Linked DNA regions of Nothobranchius furzeri. The protein of the gene in region 1 purifies or fractionates together with the protein of each later gene. This does not show direct contact. Links are inferred from orthologs where the notes say so. Each region holds a gene or a part of one and is shown in the gene's direction. Other genes may lie near its edges. The genes, in order: ptpn12 and pstpip2.

Region 1 (3,826 bases):
AGGGTGGGGCATAATTAACGCTCTGACTGTAACAAGAACATTTGCATAACATTCGAGTGAATGTTTGTTTGCAGTTGTGCCAAAAATTGAACGTGACCCCTGACCTAAAGTAGTTTAATCACATTTATAATTAATAAGGACCTTTGTAAGTAAATGGATTGATTGGAAATGTAAGTGCTCTGCCTGGTTGAGCTCTGCTGTGTTTGAGAACAGCCAGCTAAGCTTTTGCCTTCTGTCAGCCAAGAGACAATGTAATTGTTCTCCTCCCATTAAGTGAATGTGTCTTCATCAGTGTCAGCCTCTATTAGATTTGGCTGCACTAGACTTTAGGCTGCGTCACACATCAAAGGAGTGTGTCTGTGAGTCAGCGATACCTTGATATCAGTAGCATTTGTTTTCTTGGACTCGTGTTTGTTGCGTTTTTGATGAAGAAACGACTGATTTTATTCATCTGTTATTTAACCTAACTAAAGAGGAGAAGGTCTCTGATACTAATCAGAGGTGGCAGAGTTTGATGCTGATAAATGGACTCGTCTGACAAGTTGAGTCTGTTCTTTTCCGAGTTGTCTGATTCTTTTGACTTCTAAGAAAAATGAATGCACAAATCCGTTCCACCATTTGCGTTTTCCCTGCTGTGTGTTGACACATGCAAACAGATGTTATTATCTGCTAATAACTCCCCACATGTTTTTGTTTTGTTTTTTAGCGGTTACGACGGCTATCAACCAAGTACCGGACAGAGAAGATCTACCCCACCAACGTGGGAGAGAGGGAGGAGAATGTCAAGAAGAACAGATATAAAGACATACTGCCGTGTAAGATCTGGTTCATCGCCACTGAAGCTCTTAAAGCATTTCTGTTAATCTCATCAGTCTGCATTTCAGACTGATCCTCCAGCAGCAAACATGCTGTGTGCATTGGGTGTTGTGTCAGCAGGCTGTGCTTTATTTGACTTTTTATCTTTCCCTTTGCTCACATGTCTTTAGATGACGGTAACATTTTGTACACAGGTTTGATCTGAGCAGTGCTTCACAATTTAATCTCCATTCAGCCTTGTGTCCTGCAAGTGTAGCAGCTTTAAAATTTCATGCATTTATCCGCTCAGCTTTAAAGGTCACTGCCTGACTCCACAAATCCACGTTTAATCTAAAGTGATATCAGCACCTACACTGTAAAAAAAACAAGGTGGTGGAGGGGGGTATTAAAGCTAAAAGTGGAAAGAGGCCTGACAGTTTGAGGACGATGAGAAAAAATAACTGCAAATTCATACATTAATCATTTGTGTTTGTGTAAATGTTAACAGAATAAACACGGTGTTGTGTTTCTGCTGTACGCAACAACCTCGGGGATGTTCATGTGACCCAACATCTGTCCTAGTTTTATGTCTATCCTTTTCTCCACTTTCCATCCATTCATTCGTTAAAGCTTTTAGTGAATGGGCTGATAAATCAAAAGTAGGAGCAGGCTCATCCATAACAGATGGACCAGGAATGAGGATAAAACAGTTTCTCCGTTAAACTCTTGAGTCAATCATCATGTCCCTGTTTGCTCTTTTAACATTCTCTCATTCTGTGTTTCCCCATTTATCTCATTCTGATATTAATTTTGTGTTTTTCTCTCCACAGTTGACCACAGCAGGGTGAAGCTGACATTAAAATTAACCAATCAGGACTCAGATTACATAAATGCAAACTTTATTAAGGTAACAATCAAATTATATGTTTTTTTCTCTCAATTTTTGTAAAGTACACGATTATGTTGAAATGTCTAGTTTAAAACAGTCACAGTGCTTTATGTCGTTGCGTTCAGGGTGTGGATGGCCCAAATGCCTACATTGCAACTCAGGGTCCGCTGCCAAACACGGTCCTCGACTTTTGGAGAATGAACTGGGAGTATAACGTAGCTGTGAGTACGACCCCATGCAACACAGTCTAGTTGACATCTATTGGGAAATAGTTCATGAATATAACACTGTTAATTACAATGAAGGTGTTTTATTGATAAGTCTGTTTTTAGCTGTCAGATTTCGTTTCATTGCAGAGTTGGCTAATAGCACAGATTAATGGGAGTGCTGTTAGAGCTACCTACGCTGGTAACACACACAGTTACGTTTATAATTATTACATAGAAAAAGAAAAGTTCTGCGAGTTTTTTGGAATCGCTTGAAAAGAAAAACGTGGTGATGGTGGCAGAGGAGTTAAGTGCCCATCCCGTAACTGGAGGGTTACAGGTTTGAGTCCCGCCCAGTCACAGTCGTTGTGTCCTTGGGCAACACACCACTTCACCCACTTTGCCTGCTGGTGGTGGTTGGAGGGACCGGTGGGGCCTGTGTACGGCAGCGTCAGCTGTCAGTGAGCCCCAGGTTAGCAGTGGCTAGGATGTCGCTATCACCATCAGCGTGTGAATGGGTAAATGATTATGTTGTAAAGCACCTTGGGGGGTTGTAAAACTGTAAAAGGAGCTACAGGGAGCCTAAGTCACACCAATCTATTTTGGTCTATGGGTCTCCTACTGCACCATTTTCAGGAAGTAGACTGAGCCACTTCAGAGCTGAGCTTCAGACGACCGGATCTGAAGTCTTATTCTCTGATATTTGGACATCTCGCTTCTGATTGGATAACAGCAGCGTAACCCTATCCCCCGGCTCCATTTGCTCTGCAACGATGATGTTTTATATCCACAAATAAAACATGCTTGGAGCGTTTCTGCTATGTGGTGGAGTTGCTAATGCTAACTGGGAGGTTGTACTAGCCGAGACGTTCTCTGCTGTTTCCTGGGCGCAAAACCAAAAACGGCCTTCCCCGTCACGATGGGTGAGTCCATGAATGTTAAGTGACAGTGTGACATAGATCCTTCAGACTTTTCAAATCCTAGACTTTCACAATTTCACATTTCACAAAACTCAAGCGTGACTAATTATAATCAGAATCACTTTTTTCTGTCATTCAACATCCCCCTCTGCTCTTTAAGAACTAAGCCTATCCGTCACATCTCATTCCGCAATATCAAAAACATTAACCCAGTCACCCTGTCATCTATTATTAACACTATATCCATCCCTAGTTCTGCTTCTCCTGACCATCTTGTTTCTCATTATAACTCCACACTCCACAATATCTTGGATTTTCTTGCCTCTGTCAAAACTCTGTCCGTCTCCTTTACTAACTCTGCCCCCTGGTTTACCCCTGAACTCCGACAGATGAAAGCCAAAGGACGTCAACTCGAACGCCTCTATAAACGAACTGGTCTTGCAGTACCCAAAGAAATGCACAAAACTCATCTGCTTCAATACTTGGACTCAATTAAACATACAAAATCTGCTTTCTACTCTGGATTGGTTTCCTCCAATGAAGGCAACTCTAGGACTCTGTTCTCAATAATGCGCAATATTTTTCATCCCCCGGACTCTCTACCCCCCCCCCCCCCACACACACACACACACACACCTGTATTCTGCTGACTCATGTAACTCTTTATTAACCTTCTTTATTCAGAAAATTGCATCCATACACCAGCAATTAATTCCAAGTTCTTCCCCTCCCCCTGAGATTTTTTCACCCGGCCAGTCATTTTGTTCCTTTCTTCTTCCCACCTCATCCGAAATATCTGATATTATCTGTAAATCCAAGCCCACCACCTGCTCTCTCGACCCCCTCCCTACAGTTTTGGTTAAAACATGTCTCACCTCCCTTCTCCCTCTCATAACCGCCATAATCCACTCCTCCCTCTCTACCGGTATTGTTCCCTCACTTTTCAAAACTGCATCTATTACTCCAATATTAAAGAAACCCGGCACCGATCCCAATAATTTCAATAATCTTCGTCC
Region 2 (3,826 bases), on another chromosome or scaffold:
TTGTTTCTAATAGAATTAATTTTACTTGTGAAAAATCCCATAAAGTTATTGCTGATGAGGGCTAAGGGAATAGATGGTTCAGAGCTATGATTCTGTGCAAGTTTGGCAACTGTACTGAAAAGAAATTTTGGATTATTCTTATTCTCCTCAATTAGCGCTGAAAAATATGCAGTTCAATTTTATAGAAGCTTACTTTTATAAAGCACAAGACTATTTTTCCAGGATAGGTAGGACTCCTCCTGGTGTGTAGAATGCCATGTTCTCTCCAATTTTCTAAAGTTTTGTTTTAAAGTTCGCAAATGAGAATTAAACCAGGGAGCCAACTTCCTGTCCCTAATTGCCTTCTTTTTTAAAGGGGCAACATCATCGAATGCCACACGTAAAGAGAAAGTAACATTATGAACTAAAGCATCAATTTGTGAAGGGCTAGAGATACAAATATTGCCCTCTGCTACGTTCCTCTGAGATGCTGAGGACAGTAAAGATGGAACAGTTGATTTAAAAGATGCAACTGCGTTGTCAGATAGAGACCGACTATAGTGAAATTTACTTTCATGTCTCGAGAACTCGTCATCGTCGTCGTCTTCCTCCGCTTATCCAGGTCCGGGTCACGGGGGCAGCATCCCAACTAGGGAGCTCCAGACCGTCCTCTCCCCAGCCACCTCCACCAGTTACTTCGGCAGGACCCCAAGGCGTTCCCGGACCGGATTGGAGATGTAACCTCTCCAACGTGTCCTGGGTCGACCTGGGGGCCTCCTGCCGGCAGGACATGCCCGAAACACCTCCCCAGGGAGGCGTCCAGGAGGCATCCTGACCAGATGCCCAAACCACCTCAACTGACTCCTTTCAATCCAGAGGAGCAGCGGTTCTACTCCGAGTCCCTCCCTAATGTCCGAGCTCCTCACCCTATCGCGAAGGCTGAGCCCAGCCATCCTACGGAGGAAACTCATTTCGGCCGCTTGTATTCGCAATCTCGTTCTTTCGGTCATTACCCAAAGCTCTTGGCTATAGGTGAGGATTGGGACGTAGATCGACCAAGAGCCTGGCTTTCTGGCTCAGCTCCCTCTTCACCACAACAGATCGGCTCAGCGTCCACATCACTGCAGACGCCCAACCAATTTGCCTGTCGATCTCCCGATCCCTCATACCCTCACTCGTGAACAAGACCCCGAGATACTTAAACTCCTCCACTTGAGGTAGGACCTCTCTCCCGACCCGGAGTTGGCAAGCCACCCTTTGCCGGTCTTGAGAACTCAGTTATAAAATACTCAAAGGTTGTCAAAAAGTGGTCCGAGAGGACTGGATTATGTGGAAATATCGTTATTTCCTCACACTCTATCCCATAAGTCAGTACAAGGTCTAATGTATGATGGCAGGAGTGGGTGGAGCCATGTATTCTTTGGGTAAAACCAATTGAGTCTAAGATATTACTAAAGGCTACTTTGAGGCTATCATTTTCATTGTCCACATGAATGTTAAAATCCCCCACTACAATGACCTTATCAGTAGTTAATTAAATTGATGTTGCTGCTTTGCAATAAAGAATTCACTGCAAAATAATAAAAAAGACAAATCCAATATTTGGTTTTCCCACTAATAAATCAATGTTGATAATGTCCAATTATGATCTCTGGCTATACTTTATTTTTATTTTTTATCTTGAGTACAAATATATAATTTTTTCTCTTTTTTTGTTGTTTTTAGCACATTAAAAAGATCCCTCGATGTGTTAAAGTTGCGTAAGTTCCTAACATTTTTTATATTCACCTGTTTCTGCATATAATTCATGTAGATTTATAGATTTAAAAGATTTTTACTCTTCAGAGACTGAACAAGTGAGTTTAACGCATCTACAGTTGGCCCACAGCATGAGGGAGGAGGCCAAGAAGCTGGAAGACTTTAGAGAAAAACAGAAAGAAGCACGGAAAAAGGTTTGTACATTTTTTACAGGTGCTGTCATGTGTCATTTCACCCCATGTGATGTGAATATTTGACACTAGGATGTGGTCTTTTTATTTAGATAGAACAACAGATGGATGTTGTCCACAAACAGAAGTCTTCACACTTCAAGAGGACAATGGATGTAAGTAGAGATGTTTTCCTGATCATGTACCATTTTTGAAGTAAAACAAAAGCAGAAGTATTTGAGCAAAGTTGGTCAACTATTTAGTCATGCTGGCAGAGTTCCAGTCACATGTGAAAATGATGTCCTCCCCTCGCGTTCTTCCTGTTTGATAGAGGAACCAGTTTTGATCAAGAGGAAACAAAACATCCTCAAGAAAAGCCATTCCAATTATTTCAATCTATGGAAAAATGGAGAAGTAATTATAGGGGATGAATTTCCTCTTATACATGTGATGAGTCCTAACTAGGGCTGCAACAAACGATTATTTGGATAATCGATTAATCGAATGGGGTCTCGACACGATTAATCGATTAATCAGATTACATGGGGAAATTTTTAAAAACTGCTAGGGAAACGTTATTTCTCTCCTTCCTTCACTTTATTTAACACAACATTATTAGAAAACAGTTCAATAGCAGAAAAACAACATGCCATCACCTAAATTGTCTTATAAGGTGTATAGACAGAGACCCTAAGCTACATCTATCTGTGACCTAAAATGCTTGGTCCAAGTTAAACAGCTTAAGGGCAATTCTCATGTGTTTTGTTTGATCTCATCTGTTGACATTTATTTTAAATGTAATTAAACATAGGCTGTGAATTAATCAAAATTGATCACTATTTCCAAAATTGACTGAAAAAATACCAAATAAAGCAAAAGTAAATGAATGCCATCCTCCTTGCGATGATGCCCTGGGCAACTGCCATAAAGTCACATCAAGAAATGCTGCTGATCATTCCAATGATCCCAAATAGACTCACATTAGGCCACATGAAAGCAACTGAACCCAAAAATATATTAACCAGTATATAACTGCACTCTCACACAACACGCCTGCAGCAACAGTTAGGACTCCTCCCTCCCTTTTAAAAGCGTTTTTGCTTCTGAGGACATTGTGGTTGTAAAACCACACGCTAGTAGTCTGGCCCCGGTGTGATCAACCAGTTTCTGCGGGAATGTGACGGCGGAACCAGGGCCAGATTAACACTTTGTTGTACCCTGGGCAACAATATTCAAGGGCTCCATCATCACAACCCAAGGATCACCATAATGTGGTCACATACAGAATATTTTACTGTAATATGCAGTAAATATACTCAATACTTGAATGCCTGACAACACGTAACCTGCCCAGAGTAACCTTTGACCCACCTCGTGTGGACTGACCAATGAGGAGAGGGTCTTAACTTGAGGCCCTCTCTTCATTGGTCAGTCTGCATGAGACTGACTCTCAACTGACGTCTAGTCATAGGCAGCGAAGCGTCTCTGTGCAGCGCAAAAGCCCGGGTGGACAGTTTGTTTAATGTAGGGTGATCATATTTCCATTTCCAAACAAGAGGACAGGGGATCTGTGCCTATGACGTCACACTATGGCAACGCCACACAAACCATGTTGGGACCCATTTTTTGTAAGAACTAAATTAATATCAGATTCTGCCAATTAAAGGGCTCTAAAACAATTCATATGTAAATATTTTGCATATTTACTGCAAAATCTCATTTTTCTGCTTTAGTGCTGCAACAAGGTTTTATTAATAATAAATTATTATACCTTTTGTTTTACTACAGCATCGGTAAGCTTCCTGTGCACAGATTATTAAGGATGCTTGTTTCAGCTGTGAGATTAGACGATAGGATCAATGAAAAAATAAGTTGTCACACACTCCATGGAAACTTTCAGAGAATCCACAAATAGTGGC

The links.
Region 2: the proteins of ptpn12 (region 1) and pstpip2 purify together in Homo sapiens (affinity purification with mass spectrometry; 4 studies listed by BioGRID and IntAct, counting the BioPlex papers as one, with this or other methods). This does not show direct contact. The link is inferred for Nothobranchius furzeri from reciprocal best matches to the Homo sapiens genes PTPN12 and PSTPIP2.

What each region holds. Positions count from the first base shown.
Region 1 is NC_091741.1:48,550,453-48,554,278, reverse strand, and holds part of ptpn12 (tyrosine-protein phosphatase non-receptor type 12), read left to right. Parts: intron 1-706; coding exon 707-815; intron 816-1,625; coding exon 1,626-1,702; intron 1,703-1,809; coding exon 1,810-1,905; intron 1,906-3,826. UniProt on the Homo sapiens protein: Dephosphorylates a range of proteins, and thereby regulates cellular signaling cascades. Dephosphorylates cellular tyrosine kinases, such as ERBB2 and PTK2B/PYK2, and thereby regulates signaling via ERBB2 and PTK2B/PYK2.
Region 2 is NC_091746.1:59,932,872-59,936,697, reverse strand, and holds part of pstpip2 (proline-serine-threonine phosphatase-interacting protein 2), read left to right. Parts: intron 1-1,704; coding exon 1,705-1,739; intron 1,740-1,824; coding exon 1,825-1,931; intron 1,932-2,020; coding exon 2,021-2,083; intron 2,084-3,826. UniProt on the Homo sapiens protein: Binds to F-actin. May be involved in regulation of the actin cytoskeleton.